4 linked regions of the Caenorhabditis elegans genome follow. The protein of the gene in region 3 interacts with the protein of the main gene of each other region in a pairwise test. Each region holds a gene or a part of one and is shown on either strand. Other genes may lie near its edges. The genes, in order: scrm-2, cat-4, F19C7.8 and rimb-1.

The links.
Region 1: the proteins of F19C7.8 (region 3) and scrm-2 interact in a two-hybrid assay, tested with the Caenorhabditis elegans proteins (one large-scale study listed by BioGRID).
Region 2: the proteins of F19C7.8 (region 3) and cat-4 interact in a two-hybrid assay, tested with the Caenorhabditis elegans proteins (one large-scale study listed by BioGRID).
Region 4: the proteins of F19C7.8 (region 3) and rimb-1 interact in a two-hybrid assay, tested with the Caenorhabditis elegans proteins (one large-scale study listed by BioGRID).

What each region holds. Positions count from the first base shown.
Region 1 is NC_003279.8:13,232,425-13,237,975, reverse strand, and holds scrm-2 (Phospholipid scramblase), read right to left. Parts: upstream 2,629-5,551; 5' UTR 2,610-2,628; coding exon 2,247-2,609; intron 2,083-2,246; coding exon 1,840-2,082; intron 1,797-1,839; coding exon 1,694-1,796; intron 1,650-1,693; coding exon 1,591-1,649; intron 1,536-1,590; coding exon 1,506-1,535; 3' UTR 1,313-1,505; downstream 1-1,312. Other genes in the region: ZK1053.2 (uncharacterized protein), read right to left, coding at 3,316-3,525, 3,576-3,829, 4,386-4,849, 4,900-4,975, 5,023-5,365, 5,413-5,508.
Region 2 is NC_003283.11:10,562,404-10,567,890, reverse strand, and holds cat-4 (GTP cyclohydrolase 1), read right to left. Parts: upstream 3,012-5,487; 5' UTR 2,978-3,011; coding exon 2,815-2,977; intron 2,248-2,814; coding exon 2,152-2,247; intron 2,105-2,151; coding exon 1,907-2,104; intron 1,849-1,906; coding exon 1,634-1,848; 3' UTR 1,452-1,633; downstream 1-1,451. Other genes in the region: vps-54 (Vacuolar protein sorting-associated protein 54), read left to right, coding at 1-390, 444-637, 682-1,087, 1,134-1,236. UniProt on the Caenorhabditis elegans protein: Involved in serotonin and dopamine biosynthesis that affects movement, mating behavior, foraging behavior, and cell migration.
Region 3 is NC_003282.8:4,633,843-4,640,123, forward strand, and holds the start of F19C7.8 (SH3 domain-containing protein), read right to left. Parts: upstream 4,254-6,281; coding exon 3,950-4,253; intron 3,129-3,949; coding exon of another isoform or gene 2,992-3,128; intron 2,948-2,991; coding exon of another isoform or gene 2,738-2,947; intron 2,692-2,737; coding exon of another isoform or gene 2,487-2,691; exon of another isoform or gene 2,459-2,486; intron 2,120-2,458; coding exon of another isoform or gene 1,986-2,119; intron 1,941-1,985; coding exon of another isoform or gene 1,728-1,940; intron 1,682-1,727; coding exon of another isoform or gene 1,609-1,681; intron 639-1,608; exon of another isoform or gene 570-638; coding exon of another isoform or gene 436-569; intron 393-435; coding exon of another isoform or gene 174-392; intron 128-173; coding exon of another isoform or gene 1-127. Other genes in the region: R105.1 (uncharacterized protein), read left to right, coding at 1-127, 174-392, 436-569; R105.5 (Vitelline membrane outer layer protein 1), read left to right, coding at 2,487-2,691, 2,738-2,947, 2,992-3,128.
Region 4 is NC_003281.10:1,785,703-1,792,318, forward strand, and holds the start of rimb-1 (Variant SH3 domain protein), read left to right. Parts: upstream 1-2,630; 5' UTR 2,631-2,703; intron 2,704-3,334; 5' UTR 3,335-3,381; coding exon 3,382-3,752; intron 3,753-5,086; coding exon 5,087-5,216; intron 5,217-5,387; coding exon 5,388-5,460; intron 5,461-6,616.

The sequences.
Region 1 (5,551 bases), on a different chromosome or scaffold from region 3:
AAACTCATTAATAAACTTTGTTGATATAATTGAAAACTTACTTGTGCATATTCGAGATAATTCTTGCGATGTAAGTATGCTTCGTTATGTTCTCTGTCTGACTCGCTCTATATTAGAAGCAACAATTGGCCTAACTGGGGTTCCATCGACGTTATCATAAGAATAGGTGTCCTTGATTATGTCATAAGTGAATTTTATGTAGTCTTGTCCTGATTTCGGAATCAATTGGACCATCTTCTCCTGTGTTTTGAAGGATGTACGATGGACAACTGAAACTGGAAATACTTTAGTATACAGTTTATTTGGGCTATATGAATACTTTATGAATAGACTTTATGAATAGAATTTGAAATTTGCCGTTGCACGGCAAACGGCAAAATTTCCAAATTCAACAAATTTGCCGCACACGAAAAAATACGACAACTATCATATCATTTTCTGAAAAATACATATAACACTCACGAGTTGTATTATTTTCTGCTGTAGTGGTTTCAGATGTTTGATTTTTAGGAGAACCTGAAACATCCATTTCTTAATTATTTAACATATATCGCTTTTCTCACTTTCCTCATTATTCTTACCAACAACTTCGGACAAGCCAAAAACAATTGGCGTTGTTATGAACAAGATTCCAATGAATACTGTAGCTCTTTTAGCGATTGTCTTAGAAGAATTACTTGCTTGGGATCTTAAAAAATATTCAGAGTTTTCGCAAATTTTTATGTATATATTTTTTTGTGAAAAACTGAACGATAAACGTTTTACTTCCTTTAATAAATTTTTTGAATATAAAATGGCCAAAATTAATCTTTTATTTGGAAAATCTTGGGCTCACTAGCAGTGCAAAAAAAGAAACTTACTTGTTAGAACTGCCTAACAACAGTGATTCGTTTTGTGAATAAATAGGATCTTCCGAAGACATTTTCTTATATTTTAACAAAAGATAAACTTATCAAAAAGGGTTGAAAAATGAATATAGTTCGTTTTGAAAGAATTGGGTTCGGCAGCAGGCTTGCTTCGTAGACATGCAACAAGGAAGTATTCGTGAAAATCTAAGAAGTTGAAAAAGTTGTAATCTTTAAAAAACGTAACTGTGATCTTTATTGCCTCTCGTCTCGTAAATCACGGAATTGAAGAGATGTGCATGGCAGTAGAGCATGTCGGTGGTAACGATACAGGTGAAAAGTAGGCCAAATTTGTATTTATCAGTTTACCGAAAGATTTTTAATCAAAAGATTTCTAGATTTTTAATATCGGAGTTTTCTCCGTTATATATTCAATCGTTCTTGCTTTACGCTTATTGGAAGTGCGATATAATTATAATTATTTTATTTCATTTTGAAGATGTTGAAGAAAAGAAGCAAAGCGATGCAAACGGCGCGTTTGCAAAATGTCTTATTTTAATATACATGCATACAAAGAAAGCACATTATCATTTCATAATTAGAGCTCTGATCGCAGAAAACAAGCGAGAAGTGCATTGCGAGATTTCCAGTTTTTCCACATCAGTTATTATTTTCGAACTCCACGAAATCCTGAAAATAGAGTAATAGTTAAATTAAATTTTGGATAAGAAGCACAAAAACTCACAATCAAAAATGTGGCTCCCAGCAGTATCGCTTTGAGCTTGACATCAAGGTCGATGGGAACTGAAATTCTTTCAACTATTCTTTCACTTTCAAGACTAACTCACAGGTGACTGCAAAAGTGTCGGCATCGGTAAACGCTTCACGCAATAGTCCACCCCACTTCTTGGTTATTGAGCCAATTGGCACGGAGCTGTCGGGAGTTTTGATCTGAAAAGTATGGAGTATTTTAAATTCGGCAAAGTCTTGTCACCGTAAAATCCTTATCTTCACAGCAGCAACTTGTGCAACATCCTTGACCATCAACTAGGAAAATCAGATTTCCATCTTTATCCAAAATGTTATAGAATGAATTCGTGCAACCATATCCTTGAAGGACAGTACCCAGAAGGCCAGTTGATAGTGATTCAATGGTGCATATGTTTTGAAGACCTAGCAAGCATCCACAAAATGAGTCTGCGCAGCATCTTAATTCTCGTTTGACGATGAGCACATTCTTAACAAAACAAATGTTTTAAAAACTTAATTTAAAAGAATTTTCAAGAAACTTTAGGAATGTTTTCCTATTATTACACATCCCATGAAATAATCAGGAGTTAAAAAGTGATAAGAACTCAAGCTTCATGGCTTAGAAATCTGCATCTCTAGGCCATAACTCACCTTGTTAAAATTATCCACAATGTGCATCGTAAAACCTCGTTGCGATCCACAACACTGTCTCTCCCAAGCGTTGGATTCTTCGAACGCATAGTAACACTGCTGTCCATTTTTATTTCTAATAGCATACTTATTTTTACTCTCCCATCCAGTAAGAATCTCAAGAACCTCCTTCACTTGATGCACCATGACCGTGTCCAAGTAGGCAAGGTATTCCAACCCTGCTGGGATTCCCTCAATCGCTGGAAGTGCTTCCATCCAAATTGCTCCGGGAGCTGCTTGTATAGAAGCTCCTGGTTCAGTTGTTATGGCTCGGTCTTCAATTTCAACGTAATCAGGTGGTCCATTATAAAATAGTTGATCCATTATTTCGAATCTGAAACTTATAAAAAACGGGTTGCTGATTGTTTGAAATTGCGCTTAACTAAGCAAAGATTGGTCCGAATTCTTAAATTTCATTTTGTTACAAAATTGGTGCTCAAAAATAGAAAAAATAGATAAAAGAGTTTACTGACTACTCAATAATTTTACTCGGCTCATCGAGCTCTAAAACTGATAAAAATAGAGGTAAAAAAAATTTCGTCGAAATAAACACTTAAAAACGCATATTGATATTTTATAACTCATAAATCCGTGGGGTTTTCTTCAAACACTACAGAAATTACAGTAAAAACTATTGCTTTAGATCGAAAAAAATTGCTGAACAGTTGAAACCGGAAAACTGGTCAAAAGTAGGAAACATTCGTTGTTTTTATTGATGCTCAAAAAACATGAAACAGAGAAAAAGCGGGTTCAGAAAGTGGGACCAGCGAATGTGTTCGGAAAGTGAGAGGCGCATAGACGAAGAGGGAAGCTAGACACACATACTTTGAAAACAGCACAAGGTTCAGGGTACTCGTGTACTAAAAATTGAGAGAATTTTTTCAATTTATAACATTTTCATACGAGAATTCATTTGCAATTACCTAGAAGCTACCAGGGGTCACCACATTTCTCTTGGGAATTATCGAAAATTTATTCCTGAGTCATCAACTAACATTCCATTTAATTCCCTCATAAACTTTATTCATTTTCAGTCAAAATGTAAGTCAGCAGTTCTCTTCGTCTTAACATATCCTCCATGTCTTGGCTTATGATCCACATCATCATCGAGCCTCTCCTCGAACTCTGAAACTTCTACAGGAGCGACATGGGTAGCTGCAACCGGTTGCTTCACACTCTCCAATTCGGATTTAGTTTCGTTAGTGGAAACAGAAGCGGGGGTGTACTTGGATGGTTTGATCTGCAATTTAAAAATTGGAAAAAAAATCAATAACTGTTTTTGTAACTCACATTTTTCCACTCCTTATCAAACTCATCACTTTCCACAGAAACCGATGGTTTAGCTCTACGAGAACTGTGCTCCGTCTCGTGTCCTTTCTCCAAAAGTGCCAACATAGCTTCACGTTCCTCTTCAGCTTTACTGATCATCTTGTGTTTTCGTTGCTTGGCACACACGTACATCCAAATAAGACACAGGGCAATACAGAAGCACCAAATGAGAAGGACAAGGAGTAGGATGTAGATAAGGATGTTCGCATCGATTCCTGTAAGAAAATTGGTAACGGTATAGCTGGCAACAGTGCTGACGAGTTAACTTATAGTTAGTGTAGATACTTTCTCCAGAATGTTGTCAGCTTTCTGGCGCAGTATTTTAGATAGGTATGTGCTAGGGCTTCCATGAAGTCGCCGCAACGGCGCATCCGCTGGCCTCAGCGGTCACCGCGCCGGCCTCACGGCGTCACTCAAGCCGCATGTATCCGAATGTATAGTGAACCCCGACAGTGTCGGCTGCTTCAAATAACTGCCTTTTTGCATTTGAATATATTTTGAATACACATTCGAATACACAGCGGTATCAGCGTGAGGCCCGCATTTCGCGCCTCACTCAGCTGGGATTCCTAGTCTGTCCAATCATTCTTTGGTCGCAGGCGGCGCAAACCCACTAGGCCTTTATCAATTAATCTCAAATTACCAAATTTCAAACGCGCACTACGTGAAAGCTGGTGGAGTTTGCCGAGCAGGTCGCAATTAGGTCTGATCTGCTCAGTGTGCCTTAGATCGACGAGGCGTGATCGCCTACTCCTCGTGCCAAATTCTAACCTTCCTGGGCATCCGGATCACTGGGAACATATACAGTAGTTCCATTATCCACTTTCCTCTTCCCTGACATCATTTCAAGTTTTTCGGCGTCTTCTTCCGTATCCGCATCGTATTCTTCAGTGGTTGTTGTGGGACGAGCTGTCGAAGAACGAGACGGGATCTTCGATGGTTTGGGAATCGGAACAATCTTTTTGAATTGCTTTCTAGTAGTCTTCACTTCTGTTGTGCTCGAGAGGATTGTATGAGTTGTCGGAGCAATTGTAGACGTCGAATTAGTAGCATTTGATGGAGGAATCACCACTTCCTCATCCGCACTACCATCGAACGTCAACATTTCTCCCTCATCGTCTATCGATGCTGCTCTTTTTGCTGTTGGGGGCATGGTTGACGTCACCGGAGCAAGTGTAGTTGTCAGAATTTCTTCCCAGTCGTGAACACTATTGCCAAGAAGGATATCTCGAATCCTGAATAAAAATTTTTATAATTTTCAAAGGTGAACAGGATCAGGACATACATGCTCGCATAACTCTGAACCAAATGAGCACTTTCATGGACCTCGTTGATTTTGTCGGAACCTACAAGGGAGACTCCTGAAAAAAGACATTTTTTAAAAGGCAGATGGCTTCAAATTACTAACTGCTTGTGTTAATTGCTTTCACCAAATCCGGAATCACCATTCTGATCGATTGATTATTTGAATTGGTTAGATTTGAATTAACAAGAATTCCATTGTAGAAGAAGCTCTTTTTCCGCGAATTCCCGTTGAACTGACTTTGAAAAGCTTTCAAAAAACACGTGGCGTCACCGAAAACGGACACAATGAACTGCACATTTTCGTGATTCAAATATTCCGACGGCGTTTTTGCAATCGCTTGGCGAAAGCTATCACAAGGATTTGAGGATGGCTTCGAGGATTCCTTTACCGGAAGATACAAACTGGAAGGTAGCTGACTACTTTTCACGGCTTCACCAAAGTATTGCTGGAATATTGAGCAGGTTGATTAGGTTAAAAACTGATAAATCTTACATTATCCCCAGAATAAGATACGATCATGTTCTTAATCTTCTCATTGCTTGGAATCTCGCAGGAAATTGCTTTGAGAAGATATGTCAGACGAGAGAGCTGAAAAAAACTAGATTTCTCACTAAAACCAGTAAGAGTATTA
Region 2 (5,487 bases), on a different chromosome or scaffold from region 3:
ATGCATTAAACTCGTTAAAGAATTTCAATCCAAGTGTGACAAGGAAGGATGGTATTCCACTCAGAATCAAAAAGTTGGAGGTCTTGGAAGATCTGTTAACAAGCTTTCTATGGATTACATTGAAAAATTCCATGCAGCTCGAAAGATTCGTATTGGAAATATGCTTGACACAGAACTTTGGAAAGCGACTGATGTTTCGATTGTGGATCAGAACATTGTCGACATGGCGATGGAAACGGGCCAATTAAGAAACACAAAGCGAATAGATGATGGTCCAATAAAAAAATCATTCAAAAGAACAGAAAGCGCTGTGACAATTGATTCAACAACATCTACTTCAAATCAAATTCAAGGTGTAATTGTTGATGAAGAGAACTATGTTGTTGTTGGGTTTGTTTCAAATTTTGGATTTAGGATTACGAATATTAATATTTTAATTTCAGATCATCAATAACAATGATCCAGCTCCTTTCTGACTACTGTGAAGCCATATCTGAAATGCCATCATTTTCCCAAGACTGGAATTCGCGAGTTGTGGAATTACTGAAAACATTTAACAGTCGGTGTTGTCAATTGATTTTAGGTGCAGGTGCCCTACAATTGGTTGGATTAAAGACTATATCTGTTCGAAATTTAGGTATTGCTCTAAAGTTTTACCGTAAAAAGTGTTCTTTTTTCCAGCACTCGCAGGTCGATCACTCGAGTTAGTATGCCGCTTCATTCCGATGGTTCATGATGAGATGGACAGAGTTCTTCCTGAAAATCGAAAAAGTCTGCTTCGGTACTTCAAGCAGGTTGAAAGTGAATACCGCGATCACGTCAACGAAATTGCTGCCAAATTAATAAGTGTAATAGCTCATTATACAACAAATTGTCTTGGAATGTGGGATGTGAAAGGAGTGATTCCATCGCCAGAATTTCAACAAATTTGTCGCCATATGCTGAAATTCCACAATGGACTGGTTGGCATCATGCCAAGAGATCAGATCGAGGCGTTGTTCCGTCAAGTACACGAAAACTTTAAAGCCAACTTACGAGAACACGTCACTGGAATGGGTATCACACCTCATGACCCTTTAAAATACGGGTAAGAATAAATTACTGAAATTTCAACTATAATGTACTATTTTCAGATATGTCACAAAAGATTACATGTTTTATCAACAAAATGTGAAAAACATGGAAAGTTGCCGTAATTTGGAGCTCGAGTCGCTTAATGACATTATGTTTGAATAGGACTTTTCTTTGTAAAATATTTATTTAATTTTCAATCTGGTTTATTTCTTGTGTATGATTGTGATTGTTTGACTAATTACGGTGGCTTTTATTTCACGCTTCTTCTGTAAACTTCCCCAATTCACTGGTCCTTCATTCCTAATTTTTTAGTTTGTGCTTCTGGGCTAGCTTTATCACTTTCATTTCCCAGTTAATTGTTTTTGTTTTTATTTATCTGGTATTTAGTAATTTATTGCATGTACAATAAAAGCATATTACAGTATCCAGGCAATGAACATGTTGTATGAATTTAAAAAGCTGAAGCATAAGATGTTAGTAGATTCACATGGAAAGTTATGAAAAGTTAGTAACAGTTAAAACCCAAAAAAACAAGTAAAAAAGGAAATGACTAGAATTTTTAGCGTTTGTTGATAAGATTAAGGAATTCTTCGCGAGTCTTTGGATCGTCACGGAATACTCCCAACATGCAGGATGTTGTGGTGGAAGCATTGATCTTTTGAACTCCTCTCATTACCATACACATGTGACTAGCTTCAATAACAACTGCAACTCCGGATGGTTGTACAGCTTGAACCATTGCGGTGGCAATTTGCTTTGTAAGACGTTCTTGGACTGAAATATTTGAACGTTTAGGTTAGGTTCCAATCAAAAATGTAATTTCTCAATTTACCTTGAAGTCTTCTGCTGAACATCTCGACTATTCTTGCCAACTTGGACAGACCAAGAACCTTCTTGTTTGGAATGTATCCAATATGAACTTTTCCCATAAATGGAACTAAATGATGCTCACAAAGGGAGAACATTTCAATATCTTTCACAATAACCATCTCATCGTGATCCTCGTCGAATACTGCCTCGTTGAGGAGCTCTGAAAAATGAAACTTTGAGCTTTAACGTTGTATTGCTATAACTGACCATCAAGTTGATCATCGTATCCCTTTGTGAATGCCATCATTGCTTTGGCAGCACGTTCTGGAGTTTTCAGAAGTCCCTGACGATTGATGTCTTCTCCTGAATTCCCAAAATCAGTCAACGTGGGAAAATGTATTTTGTTTTCATTTTTTCCCTTATAATCAACGGACACAACCTATTTTTTTCTGATTTATGTTATAGATATATCAATTGAAATCACAAGTTCCTGATGATGTGCTAGGGTACCTTGATTGCGTGATGTAATAGATTACAATTTGTCATGAGTCTTTAAATTAAAACAATTTTCGATCTTGATTTTTGATTTGAGAGTGGAATATATTGAACTGAACTTCCTTCCAGACAATAACAACTATCAGTTATAGATCATCGACTTTCAAAACATCTTGGTCAAATTTATATTTGGGAAAATATTTATCAATATTCTTTGAGTCACTGATAATGAATAAATGCTAAAACATTATAATCTCTAGAATGAATCAAAAAGTGTGTTGAAATGTTTATCGAAACCAAAGTTTTCCTAATTCTGCTGACGTAAACAGTTGACAGTACGTTTTCAGAACTCTATAATCTATTCTTAAACAGCTTATTTTAAATTTGTTGTTGATCGACTAATACTTTCCGAACCAAAGAATCACATGAACTCACCGACATGTTGAATGATGCTCTGATAGGCATTGCACATTGATTTCAAATGATCTTCCTTTGGAATCGTTCCGTTTCTTTTCTTCATCTCAACTTTATCGTCTTCGGATCCAACACTTGCGGCGTCAGATGACAAAAATCCGCTTTCGTTCTCAATTCTGGACATTTTGATATTATGATGTTGATAGAGTGGGTAAAGCCTGAAAACATTGATTGAGTAAGTGAGTGAAATAAGGTGATATTGAAAATGAGCCGTGGGTAAATCTTAAGAAAGCTGAGAAAGCGTAGGCGACAAAAAGAAAGGATAGACATTCAAATAATTGCCGGATGAAACCGAATATGTGCAATGTCCAAGCAAGAAAGAAGAAATTACGAAAAAAAAAGGTACAACACGTCATGTATTATGAAAGGTATTCTGGGAAAAAATAGGCAAAATGAAGGGACAGAAGGAAATCAATCTAGTCGAATGGATAGACTTCATCATCTTTTCCCACTTATGTGAAAAAATGAGAAAAAAAGAATAAGAAAATAGCAAAAAATCGAAAAAGAAACGGAAGACGTCGTCCCATACATCAATCGTTTTCCGCCATTCCTTCATGGCAGCACTTCTAGGTATTCAGGAAAATGTGGAGGAAGAATAATTTATTTATGCAAACAAAAGGAACATGTAAAAAGAAAATGAAACCGATTGATTAGGTGGATAGGCGCAACAAGAAAAGAAAAAGTGGACTGGTCTGAGGAGATACAGAGAGAAGGATCGTAAATCAGCGAGGAATGATATAGACCTTCACTCACGTGGACTTCTAGTTCACTATCAGTTTTGTTGCCGAAACTTTGGCAGATTAATATCTACAAGTTACTCTTTCATGCACTACAATCGAAAAAATTGAGAAACTTTATATTCAAAACGAAATTTGGAATTTATCAAACTTCACATATATTTCTCACGAAATTCATCAAATGGTCCTCCTGGGAAGTTATTTAAAAACAATAATAGGATCACATGTGGTAGAATATACTCCTCCTATTTTTAAAACTCATCACACCTAATAATATTACTCATCGAAACAACCAATCTGAAAAATAAACTAGATTCTGGCAAAAAAATTACTAATGAGTTTAGTACAACACAGAAACCGTGTTAAACTCTCATATATACTGCCAACAGCCACAAAAATAAAATACAATTTCTAATATTTCACCATGTCAAAAAAGTAGGACCTCAAATTTGGGAACGATTTCATTCAACAGTTTCGGTTTTCAAAAATTGTAAAATTTTAACTACTTTCCTTTCTAAGTCATCATCAGGTGGAAAAATGAGAAAGTAAAGAAAGAAAATGAAAAGAATTGAGGGGTCTAAAGAAGTACACTCACTTTCTTCTATTCTTCTACTTAACTACCTACATAAGAATTTCGTTGAAACAGTTAAAGCTAGTAGAAAGATCAAACCCACGCCTTTTTTTTCCCGGCAGACTCGATGTGTTTTGATGACATTCACACGAAATGACGAGAACGGTTCCAAAATCAGCTGAAGATGAGGGAAGAGGCGTTTCGAACTTGTAAATGTTTTCCTAGTTTTCTAGTTCTTTTTCATCAGATATCGTTTCTTATATTTGCGATTTCTGGGCTGATTGGGTACAAGTTGGGAGGAGGTGATGACGAATGAAAACAAGAAAACTTGAAATACTATTTTGTTATGATCAGGATTTTTTGGGTTATTCGAAGTCTCTCATAACTTTTGGTTCTTCAGAGTTAGAGATTGAGAATCAAAAAGAACTATTTGAAAAAACTGAGCTATTGTCAATATTCTTGAAAAGTAAAAAATTAAAATCGAAAGTTGTTACTGAAAAGTACTGCCAAATAATACCGTAACACTCGTAGAGGAAGTTCCCCGCAATTTATTAGGTTGAACTATAAATAAGATAAGAGCATAAGCAAAATGCCGCCGCTAATGATGTACTACCAATTGAAGCCGCAATTTATATGGAGTTTATAATCATTGCATGATAAATTGGTTCAGGAACTTTGAATTGTCACCTTTGAGATAAGATCGTGCACAAAAGGAGTTTGCGGGATTAATTAAGTGACGGCGATTACGTCAGAAACATAGAGAACAAGTAACATAGAGAGTGTCCTAAGGAATACGGTTTTCTGACTGGTGATGATTTAGTGAACATCATCTTGCACAATTTTTTAGACTAGAATGTTCAATGGCGCGGTTGAAAGAGTCAATAGATTATGAACTGGATTATGTGATTTGGAATTATTTATTTTCCTGATAAGAATCACTTCAAACTTTTATTACCGCAAGTTTGACTTTATTAGACCAAACTCTACAGGCTTACCGTATATTCTCTATTAGTGCTGCACTAATTTTTGGGTTTTTTTTTTGAATGCATCACTTTTAAAAACTGCAGTACTACTTTAGAATGCAGAACTAATTTTCGAGCGCCTCTGTTCAATTGAAGGTCATTAGCATTTAGTTACGAAAGGTCACCTTTTTGAGCATAAATTAATTAAGATTGTGGGTTTTCGTATTTCAATTATGTATGTAAATAAACAACGAATCTTGTACAATTATACAAAACACTCAACAAAATGTCAAAAATATTTTGACTGTTGATATAAAAAGAGGTGCATTTCAGAAAAACCCCGTTAAAAGCATCATAAATTAAT
Region 3 (6,281 bases):
GAATTTGCATGTCCTGAAGGCCTAGTGATCAACGGATACCAAGTCAAATCACAAACGAAGCAAGGCTGGTTCACATATGATTATGGTGTCACTGATATGGTTTTCTTTTGCAATACACCGGACGGAAGTAAGTATTATAATTGGTAAACTAGCTAATTCAATTTCATTTTTAGAGAACCAAAACACCGACAAGAATATTACCCGTGGAAATTTCTATCCATATGATAATGATATCTGGAGAAAGATTCAATGGTGCCCCACAGGAACTGTTGTTATCGGAATGGCAAATAAACTTGATTTCGGAAAATTTGACAACGCCGGTATCACCGACATTTGTAGTTATTGCGGACGTCCTGAAGACGACAGAACTAAGAAAACATATTCGGCCTGGGGTATGGTGGAATATCATTTTGTGTTTTAAGGTTTAATTTGCAGAGGATCTCAATACTCATGGTAGCTGGGCCCGGGATCAAATGTGTGATGTTGGATCGGCTTTGGCCAGTTTTTACCCTAAAATTTTCAAACCCCAAGCAATCCAATATATTACTTATGGATGCCGCAAAGTATAGAATAAAAGTTCATAGAACTGAACTACTTGTATTGTATTGTACTGTAATGAATATTTAAAAATGCAACTTATTCGCGTGTGTAATGAATCTTGCTTTTATTTCACCAATTTGTTGATAATTCCTTTATAACTTAAATTTCAATCTGATACTGCCACGACCCTTGAAATGTTTGCAAATTGTGCCGGGCCAAACTTAGTTGGAATTTTGGATATCATGGGAGTAAATATGCAGCCTACAATTTTTGAGATTTTCTGACATTTAAGTCCGATATAAATCTACTGATAAGTCAATGTCCAAACGCCATAATTTACGCGTTCTTAAAGAAGTAGTGGTGGATGTGCGGAAATTACTGAAATTTAAAGTTTCGATTCACCCACAAGAAAAACGGAAAAATTTAGTTAAGTGGGAAACAACCAGCTCAAATTCAATAAAAGGGCCTTAATTCAAAATTCGCGGCCACACGATTTCTCAATCATATTCGTTTAAAAAATTATTGATTTAAATGTAATTATTATTTTATTCGTTTTTTTCCCAAAAATTTGAGAAAGCTTGGACAAAGAAATTCTATAAAATATTTATTTAAAATTTATTCAACCAAATCTCTAGCTAAGTTTTGGAGGTTTTTTAAGGTTGTAATTTTCTAATTTCGAGTAATATGACTGAATACTACAACTTGAGACAATGAACTCACAGGTCTAAGTTTTGTTTTGATATTTGGTCATTTTAGAGGTATTAGGTTTTAACTATTTCTCACAGGTCTCACAGTACAGGAGTCTTTGAAAATAGTTTCAATCAATTAATCATTAACGTTGACACTTTCTAATTGAAAGGTCACGTTCTGGTAGTGAGTATATAAGATTTTCTAATCAATTGAAATAAATCAAATCAAATATTGTCTGTTGTAAACATGCCCCTGCTGAGTGTTCTGCTCACCCTCGCCGTGTTCTACACTACTGTCCATGGAAATGTACCAACGCGGGAGGACTTAGTTGCATGTCCTGAAGGCTTAGTCATCAACGGATTCCAACTCAAACTTTAACCGTTGCGAGGCCTTTTCGAGGCTGATCATGGTGTCACTGAACTCGTCTTTTTCTGCAATCCACCGGACGGAAGTAACTATTCTAATTAGTAAACTAGGTAATTAAATTTCCAATTTAGACAACCAAAGCCCCGATAACTTTATTGTAATAGACAATAATTCGCCATATGGATACTGGAGACAGATTACATGGTGCCCCAAAGGATCTGTTATTATTGCAATCCAAGAAAAAGTTGATTTCGAAAAACTTGACAACGCCGGTATCACCAACTTGGCTGCTAAATGCGGACGTCCACAAGACGACAGAACTGTTCAACCATCTTTTGCCTCTGGTGTGATAAAATAACATTTAGTGTGTTCTGAGATTGAATTTGCAGAGTTCTTCTATGCTCATGGTAAATGGACCCAGGAAAACTGGTGTGATGTTGGATCGGTCTTGGCCAGCTTTAACCCTAAATCTACCAGAAGACGAGGACTCGTAAGCGCTTGTTATGGATGCCGTAAAATCTGAACTGCTTTTTGTATTGCCTCTGGAACGAAATTTTAAAAAGGCATTCCCTCGAACTGTGCATTTACATGTATAATAAATTTCTAATCTGTCATCTTCTTATCTAAGCAACACAGAGAACTCTATTTATCAAATTTTTCAGTTATAGAAATGCCGCAAAGAACAAAGATTGTTAACATAAACGCCAGCTTTCTCGAACTTCCATTGAGTTTAGTCACTTCAGTTTAGTTGTGTTCAAAGTTTTGTTCTCCTATGTGGGCGTAGAATCGTCAAAATAACAAACAAAAACCTGAAAATTTTTAAGGAGCGAAAAAAATTAAAAGAGAAGAAGAAATTAATTTCACTCAATCAATTAATAACGGCTGCAACTATGCACCTGCTGATTGCACTGCTCATCTTCACCGTGTTCTACACTACTGCCCATGGGAATTTACCCACGCGGGAGGACTATATTGCATGTCCTAAAGGCTCAGTCATCAACGGATTCCAACTCAAACTTGAAACGAAACGAGGCGTTTTGAGCCTAGATCATGGTGTCACTGAACTGATTTTTTTCTGCAATCCACCGGACGGAAGTAACTATTCTAATTGGTAAACTAGCTAATTCAATTTCTAATTCAGATACCCTAAGCATCGATAACAAAATTGTCATTTACAATGATTCGCCATATGGATACTGGAGATCGATTCAATGGTGTCCCAAAGGATCTGTTATCATTGGAATCACAGAAAAAATCGATTCCGAAAAATTTGACAACGCCGGTATTACCAACTTTGGTGCTAGGTGCGGACGCCCAGAAGACAGAACTGAACAACCATCTTTTCTCTTTGGTATGGTGGAATATAACATGTGTGTTTTTTAATTTAATTTGTAGCCAAGCTCTACACTCATGGTAAATGGACCCTCCCGGAAAGCTGGTGTGATGTTGGATCGGCCTTGGCCAGTTTTAACCCAAGATTTACCAGAAGACGAGGGCTCGAAAGCGCTAGTTATGGATGCCGCAAAGTCTAGAATAATAGCAGTGGAATGAAATTTTAAAAATGCAACTAATTGAACTACGTCTTTATTTCAAGTTCACGTGTATAATAAATCTTTTTCATTTATTTACGTTAAAAAAACGTTTTTTTTTGTTAATTACAATTATGAGAGCATTAGAGAAATTGCCATAGCAGCAAATTTTTCAAAACATAAATCTAATTTGATTTTGAATTTTGGTGGTGTATGTTTCGTTTTTTCATGGAAAATTTTGTATAACTTAAGCCGAAGCTGCCGATCAATCATGTATTTCCAATTTGAGCTCATATCTGAAGAACCGTTGGGCTTTTGCTATAACATTTTGCAGGAAATTTTACACTCTTGAAATGACACAGATCAAGAAACACGATCAATATTTTTGAAAAAAAAAACTTCGGAGGTTTTAGTTCAGTTTTTTGTCAAGTACTACATAAATTTCCGAGTATCCATGGGAATAGTATCCTTAAAAGTGGGGCATAATAAAACATTTCAAAAAAGAGTTTTCAAAACTCAATCGAAATTTGGTAATTTGCCGAATCCTCCAAACATTTATAATTTTTAAAGAACTTTTATAATTTCTGCATGTTCAGAATGTTCAAATCTAGAATGTTCAAATAGCAACACTTTGAACGCAGCGCAATTGAAGTATGAAAAAGTCGTAAGAAAAAATATATGACTTCCAAAATTATGATAACCAAGTTTTCACTACTGTTTGACGGTACAATAAATTTCAAAAAAAAAATTGGAAGTCATTTTTAGAAGTCAAAACCACAGCACTCACAAACACAATAACTCCAAACATTTGCATAAAAACGTACCTCTTAATAATCTATGTATTTCAGACAGCGAAGATGTACATTTCTCAAGTGCACTTGTCATGGTTTTGTGCAACTGTTGATGATGTTGCTGTTGTTGATGAAGATGGTAGGGCTGGTGAGGAGGAAGTTGAGATAAGGACGGTGATGCGGTGATGGATGAAGTGGTAGTGGGGGTGGAAGCAGAGTGCGATCGGTGATGCAATGGAAGAGGACGAGAGGCTCCTCCAGCAGTGGTGGTCAGGTGGTGATGGAGGAACCAAGGAGGAGATGAACACCGTTGGCTTGATGATACTTTAAACTCCATTTTGCTCACACACACACAATGTTTCCTGCAAAGAGAGATTGATTGAGTATTTCTTGACTTGAGAACTTGGAAATTTGATGGATTGGAGAGAGTTCAAAATTTAAAGGTTTATATACTTTTATATTCTAGAAAAAAAACAACGATTTTTGAAAAACAATCAACTTCCCTGTCAATCACTGTGCAAAATGTGTCCTGGTTTTTAAAGTCTTTTACTGGATTGTTTTTGATATGTTTTTTGACGCAAAGTTCCAGGTTAGAGTTTTAAAACTACAAGTTACTGGTTTTGCGGTTTCTTTTTTTGAATTTTCAGTCACCAGAGGTTTGGAAAAGGCCTACCACACGCGCCGCATAAAATTAAAAATATATGTACTTTAGACTTGGTCCAAAAAAACTGATCACAAGACCATAGTATACTCAAAAAATTTAATTGGGCGGCGAGGTTCTCACGAGTTCTCGAATGACAAATCCCGACTTTTGAGCAGATACAAAATAGCAGAGAAACAGCTTAATTGTGATTTATGGAATTTGAGTTTTTAGTTTTGCAAAGAGTTTCGGGCCTAACAAAGCTCAGATTTTTTCTGATAAAAACTGGAAGGGAAAGTTTCGCGATTTGAGACCTCTTACATGAACGGGAACGATGAACCGGTTGATCTTTTTCAGGCATTTTTGTGCAATAGGAGGCATTTTGTGTAGGCAGAAAAATGGATGCCTGCCTGCCTGCTTGCCAACAAGGCTGCCTACACGCATGACGCTTTGAGCTACGAGTGCCAAGGGCTTTTAATATACATGAATGAGAGCACGAATTCGCTTAATTTATGTTTAGAAAGATAACTAATTTTTGTTAAAGTTGGGATTATATGTAAACCATAAAGCCTGCCTGCCTACAAGGCTGGCTACGTCTGCCTACACACGTAGCACAGTTTGAGTTATACACTAACGACCGAAAACTATATAGGTAAAAAGATATAAGTGTCCAGAGGCAAATGGAAGGCATATTAGAGGCGCCCAGGCGGAACGTCAAGGTACCAAGCATAGGCTTGAAGGTAGGCAGGCCTTTTTGTGGTAGGCTTATTTCAAACCTCTAGGAAAAGAAAATGTAGCCTAATATTTTTTCACTTTTAAAACTCATAAATCCTCTACTCAATTAGTACATTTGCTTTCTGCCGACAACTAATTTTCAAAAAAAGATGAGATAAAGATGAAAAAACCAAAAACACTGAGCTTCATCTTCTTCTCTTCCTCTATTTTTTACCCAAAACTACAAAATCTTCATCTCCGCCCATATCATCATTATCCACCCTCACTTTTTGATGTTCTGTGTAAAATCAGCTGTGTGTCGAAAGAAACGAAGAAGACAAAAAATGGAGAGAAATTTATGCGGCTGTTGTGTTTTTGTGTGTGCTGCCACAAATTTTCTCCGTGTTTTTTTTCGTACAATGCTCTTTTAGTACGTTGTCATCCTGATGGAATTTCGGAACGCGGCGAGAGCAGCTGCTCCGGCTTGCCCGGCGATGACCAATATCCGAATGGCTCGCAAGAACTCATTATTCTCGTTTTCTTCTGCTAAAGATTTCGAATAAATTGCACAATACCCTGAGCATTGCACAATTTTACACCTCTTCGCTTGATGGCTCAATTTTGTTTGGGGATATGGAGATAAATTACCTGGATTGAGCTAAGGAAGAGCGAAGAGTTTTGGGGTCCCGTTTGGATTTTAAATAAGCTATAAACTTTTGAAGACGGCGTTTTTATTGATTTATGCCCGCTTTTGTAGAAGTTCACATTGTTCAAAAAAAAAGCCAAAAACCTTAAAATTTGAAGCGACATGGTGCAAACGAGATGAGAATATTTTTCAAGTATTTTTACAAGCACCGCTCTTCAACTGTTCAGTTTTTTTCAAAAAAGAGCCAATGTCTGAAGAAACTCGTCACAGACCCAGCCATTTTCAAACTCAAATAACTCAACGGAGAAAGGAGATATCAAAAAATTGACAACTACAAAAATCTTTCCCGTGTAATTTTGCACATT
Region 4 (6,616 bases), on a different chromosome or scaffold from region 3:
CTGTCATTCTCTATTTTTAAACGTTCCTGCAGCAGTAGCACAACAGAGCCAGCAGTTTTCCTCTTCTTCTCCATCTTCTTCTGCTTCTTCCTCTCTTCCCAAAAAAAAAAAAAAAAAAAAAGTGAGGGGGCTCACTGCCCCCCCCCCCCTCCCCCCCCCCTCTTCTCCTTGAAGCTCATCCAGACGTCGCTGTCCTCCTCCTCCTCGTCCCCGGGGCGCTGTGTGTGTGTGTGTGTGCTCCGTGAGCATGTAGCAGCTTCAGCCCATTTAAAGGCGCACACTCTCTGCATCTCTGCGTGTCTCGACACTCGTTTTTTCTCTTCTTTTCTGCTGCACACACACACACACACACACACACGCTCATGCCAGAGCACTTCTTGCTCCGGGGGGCTCCGCGCGGAGCCCGAGAGGACCTCCTCCTCCTTTTTCTTCTTCGCTTTTTAGTTCTTCTTGCCTCGGTCTCGCCCCTTGTTTTGCTCTCCATGTAGTATATACATCTGGGTGTGTGTGTGTGTGTGCACCTTTGGAGCATTTTTTGAACTTTTCCAGAACTTTGGAGCAACATTTTCAGCTTGTTCAGTGCACTTTTTAGGCTGAAAATCCTATTTTTAGGTTTTCGAAAGTTTTTTTGGAGCATTTTTCGTGCAATTTAGGTGCAAAATTAAAAAAAAGGGTTTTGTAGTGAATTAAAATTTTTTTGAAACTTTCGCCTTTTTAAAAAAATGTTTCTAATATCTTTAAAAATTGGAATATTTTGGAAAACAATTTGTTTTCAATTGGCAATTTATTAATTCTGAGCTTCTGAGCGTAAATTTTTTTTTATTTTGGAGCAATTCTGAGATGTCTTAGTGCATTTTTCGGGCATACATAAAAAAAAATTTATCTTAATAATAAAAACCTTAAATTTAGGCTTCACCGTCTGGAAATTCAATTTTTTCAGCTGAAAAACTTTCAAAAAAAAAAAAATTAAATTTTCACATTTATTTTCTCTGGAATTTTGGAGCAATTTCAAAGCTGTCTTAGTGCATTTTTAGTACACAAATATTTTTTCATTTTTCTTAAATTTTAATAATCTAAGCTTAAATAAAGGCTTCACCGTCTGAAAATGCAACTTTTTTCAGATGAAATATTAAAAAAAAAAACCTCTTTTATTAATTTTGTGCTCCAAACTTTCCCACGGTACGCAAATCATGTAATATGTACTTTTAAACATTATTTTTCCAATCAAAAATATCCAACAGCTTTTCCTTACAATTTGAAAATTTTTATTAAAATTTCAAAAAAATTTTTTTTTTTTTTTAATTTCGAATTTTTTTAAACTTGTTGTAACTTTTTTCCCTGTCGGCGCCAATTAACAAAATACGTAGAATTTTGCGCTTATTGTTTTGTTAGTTAACAAATTTTTGACAACTTTCTTATCAGCTGAGATTTAGGTGTTTCAGTTCGCAATCTGCGTCTCTCCTTGCTCTCCTCTATTTTAAAACCCCCATAACTTTGTTCTTGTGAGAGTTATCAAAAAATTGTCAACTAACAAAATATAGAGCACAAAAATATGCACATTTTGTATGTTGACAATTTTTTGATACCTTTTTTAGTTTTCGAGATATCTTAGTTTTAGTTTAGCTGTACCTTTTTCTGGCAAAAAACTTCCAAATTTCGGCAATTTTTCGGCAAATTTCCCGGCAAATTTCGCCAAGTACATCGGGCTCTCAGACAAGTGGTCTGTGAGTGGAAGTCGATAAAAGTAGTTTACGTGCTCTCCGTCCCCCCGCTTCTTCTCCGTCTCTGCTTCTATTTCTCCATTGACTAGTCCCACTACTTTTTACGGGGCGGAGGGCTCTCTTGCACTCCAGCTTCTTCTCTTTTTGTGCTCTTTTTTGCCCGTATGTGGGTGCTCATTTATTTTTCTTTGGTTTTAAAATAAATTCGGTTTATTAGGCTACTCGTAAAAATGAAGAAAAAACTTCAAATTCAAACGACATTAAAAAAAAATTTAATAAAAATTTTTTGAATTGCTCAAAAGCCCCACCTATATATATATATAGCTCCGCCTACTTCTCGCACAGACCCCGCCCACTTTTTGACTCCGCCCCCTTATTGGCAAAAGTTCTTGAAAAAAATAAAAATAAAAATTCAAATTGAAACAATTTTTTTTTAATGAAGTAGTTTTTTTCTAAATTGATGAAAATTTCTAAACAGTTTACAAGCACCGCCCACTTTTTGACTCCGCCCCTTTGTTGGAAAAATTCTTGTAAAAAAAAATAAAAAATAAAAGCTTCTCTTTCAAACGATTTTTAGTTGGTTTTTGTATGAAAAGTTTTTTTCCTAAAATAGAAATGTCTGAATAATTTGCAAGCTCCGCCCTTTTCTTACCCAGACTCCGCCCCTTTATTGACTAATTTTTTTTTGTCCATTTACCTGAAGTTCAAAAAAAAAATTTACAGTTTCATAGAGTAATAATTTTTCAAAAATCTCTTTTTCCAATGTTTAATGTGTCATTATAAACCCGCCCAGTTTTAAGCTCCGCCCATTTAGGCCCCGCCCATTTATGACCCAAATATTTTTTTCTCTATTCACCCGTGGATTTCCCTCCAACAAGTTACCCCAAAAATAAAAATAAAAATTCCTGCAGGCGCCCACCGGGATCTAACATCGTGGCCTCTTCCAACAACAACCATCAATCGTCTACACCATCATTCGGCGGTAGGTTGGACCGTTTTTCTTGTTGTCGACAATTATGCTGTGTCAGGACTAGAAAATCTGAATTCAGCACGCTGAGAGCTTCAAAATAAGCCCCATATTGCCTAGGTTCTAATAAATATGAAAAAATTTGGTCTCGCCACGAAAACTTGTAGGGTTTGGTAGTCTTGGTGAATTTGGGTTAGTCTTATTTTTCCTAGTTTTTTTTGATAATTTTGACACAATCTGAGCTAAAAATTGAGAAAAAATCTTAAAAAATAATAAAAATATGGATTTTCGAAGATTTTCGAAGATTTTCGAAAATCGATAACTTTGCGAATTTTAATTTTTTCTACCTGAATTTAGTTTCGAAAATTTTGTAATTCTTTGAAAAGCTTTAGAAAAATATATTTAACATTCTACACAGTACCCCGGGACTTTTCGTGGCGGGACCCAAATTTTTAAAATAGTCGGGGCCTAGCCAAGATGGGTGTTAAATGAAAGGTCTCGAAGGGCTAAATTCAAATTTTTAGGTTACAAAGCTTTAAATTGAGTTTTTAATTTTTTTTGAAATTAAAAAAAAAAAAAATCCAAAAAAAAAATCCAAAAAAAAATCCAAAAAAAAAATTTCAAAAATTTAAATTATTAATTTCAGGTTCGTGGGGTCCCTACAACAAGGCGGACCACCTAGTCACCAACTGAATGCTGGGCGGTCTGTCGGGACCCGGTCCGCCGCCCCCACCACCCCCCGCATCCTCCTATGGCATGGTGCCAGGCCCGTCGACCTCGTTCACCAACCATCTGGGTCCCACGACGTCATCCGCGTCTACAGTACCACCGACGAGTGACGCGTTGCTCCTGCAACTCCGTTCGAGACCCAATTCTCGCGTTTTTCGCGCCCTTTTTCAATATCTACCGTTAAGGGATTCGCCGAACGAGAATCCACAGCTCGAGCTGAGCCTTCAGCCGGGAGATGTGGTTCTGGTGAAAGGGGAAATGGATTCGGATGGATTTTATTGTGGGGAAACGCTGGATGGACGTCAGGGACTGGTACCATCAAATTATGTAGAGAGGTGAGCATTTTGAAGCTTAAAAATTGAGCTTTTTATACTTTTTTGGGCGAAATCTCACTTTTTCCCGTGAAAAAAGATTTAAAATTCGGAGTCTGAGATTGAAAATACAAAATTCGAATTCTCTGTGTTCAGAGCTTTCAAATGACCCCCATATTGGCTATATTCCGCCAACTTTGAAATTTCCGGGTCCCACCACGGAGGGGTACTGTAGTTTTCGTGGCGGGATCCGAAAATTTTCAAAAATGACGGAACCTAGCCGATATGGGGGTCATTTTAAAGGTCTCAACGAGACGAGTTCATTGGAGCAGGTTTTATGTGAAAATTCGATCATTTTTGAGGAAAAAAAATTTTTTTTGTTCAAAAAAGTTTTTTTTTTTTAATTTTTGTTTTAACCATGTTTTCTGTAAATAATCAGAATGAGCATAATCTCAGCTTCAAAATAGTAATCCGCCATACTTTGAAAATTCGGGTCTCACCACGAAAACTCCACCGGCTACTGTAGTTTAGACGGAAAGTTTGCAGTTTTATATTTCTAATAAATTTTTGAAAACTTTTCATATACCCTGTAAAAAATTTGTGCTGAGTAGCATAAAAATTGACAAAGTTACGGATTTTCGAAAAGATTCAAAAAAATCAAAATTTTTAATTTTGTAAAATATTTAAAAATTCTGTAACACGAAAAAAAGTTTGATTTTTTCTATTTTACCATTATTTTCGAATTTTTCACGCTATTCGCTTTAATTTGACAGCCAACATTCCCAGGCTCCGCCAATTTTGAAAATTTTCGTGGTGGGACTCAACAATTCAAAAAATTTCAATTTTACCAAGAACCTAGGCATGATGGGGGTCAAATGAAAGGTCTCAAAAAACTAAATTTGAATTTTGTATTAGTTTAACTTTTTTGTCAGCATCCTCAGGGTTACGGTAGATTTTGAACTTTCCATTGGAAAATTTTTTCGGAAAAGTTTCGAAAATCCATAACTTTTCTCATTTTTGAGATTTTAACTTGAATTAAAATGTATAACAATTGTGAGTATTTGAAAAATATGGCAAAAATAATATAATTCTGAAAAACTCGAAAACTACAGTTCCCTGGGGCTTTTCGTGGCGGGACCCAAATTTTAAAATTAAAAGGATATAGGCATGTGTTGGGGTCATTTTGAAGCTCCCAACGCGGTGAATTTCTAATAAAACGAAAAAAATTTATATTTTGAATAAGGAAAATGAAAATAATTTTAAGAATAATTTTCAAAAAAAAAAAAAATTTAAAAAACTTTTTTTTCTAAATTTTTTTATTTCTCCAAAATTTAGAAAATAAAACCAAATCTTTTCAGAGTTCCGGATTCAGTGCTCCTGGCAAATGCACGGGCTCCATCACCATCATTCCCGCTTCGAATACCCCAACATTTCTCGACAATCACACACGACTTCTCCTCTCCGGATCACTCAACACTACCCGATTCTGTAAGTTTTTGAGGAATTTTTAAAGAAAATTTGGCTAAAAATTCTTTCAAATTCAGTTTTGAAAAGCAATTTTGAAATAAAAAAAATTTAAAAAATTTTCTGGAATTTTTTTTTTTTTGAAATTTTTTTAAATTAATTTTTTCAAAAATATATAATTTTCAAATTTTTCAGGTTTGCCCTTACCCACCAGCTGACGTCACAAAAGTTACTGTACAAGAGATCAAGAACAACGAAACGCCTAGGAGTGAGTTGAAAATTTTAAAACATTCTCGAAAAAAAATTTTTTTTTTTCGAAATTTTCAAATATCGAGCCGCTACTCAGCCAATTTTCGAGATAAGCTCTTGAAAACTAATAATTCAATTTTTTCTTGCCAGTAGCTTCAATTTAACACCCATATCGGCTAGGCTCCGATGAAAAGCCCAGTTTTCGAAATTTTTTCCGGGTCGCGCCACGAAAACTCTGGGGGTACTGTAGGTGATAGATGTCTTTGACTTTTTGTATTTTTGCAAAGTAACCAAACTTAAAACACATGTTTTAGGCTAAAAATCAGCTGAAAATCTCAGATATTGATAAAGTTACAGATTTTCGAAAAATTCCAAAATTTTTAGAATTATTGTGTTGATTTTTTGAAAAATCTACATTTCGTAAACTTTCATGGAAGATATATTTGGCTAAAATTATTGAATTTGGTACAGTCGTTGTCTCTTTTAGGCTCCGCCTACTTTTGATGGGTCTCGCCGCGAAAAGTTTCGAAAATCCGTAACTTTTTCAATTTTCAAGATTCTAGCACAATTTTTTTTTCAAAACGTATGAAAACGTGTTGAAAATTCGTTTAAAATTAAACTTGAGCACGGTATTTGGATCTACAGTAACCCAACGGGTTTTCGTGGTGGGACCCAGAAATTTTCCCAATTTTTAAAACAGGCGGATTATAGCCAATATGGGGCTCATTTCGAAGCTGAAAATGTAGAAAAAACGAATTTCTGAAGTAAATTTTAAAATTTATTGGAAGTAAGAAATTTTAGTGAAAAAATAAAAAAATAAATATAAAATTTCCCAGATTTATAATTTATTTCTTTAATATCTGCACTGAATCTATAAAATTTATAAAAGAATAAAGCCTCAAAACTTTTTGAATAATTCATTTTCCGTGGGGGCCCCATATCCAAAAATGGGCAAAAAACGGAGACGCAGAGCACCAGCACTAATTCCATTTGGAAAGGGGGCTCACAAAGTGTGTGTGTGTGTGTGCTCCGTGAGCAGTAGTAGGCAGCACACAGCTAATCTGAACTGACAGATGACCCGTGGAGAGAAAAAAGGAAAAAAATGGGGAGGGGGAGGAAGCTTCTTTTATATTGAAAAGAGCCGGCGGCGAGCGGAGCTCCTTGATATTTTTGGG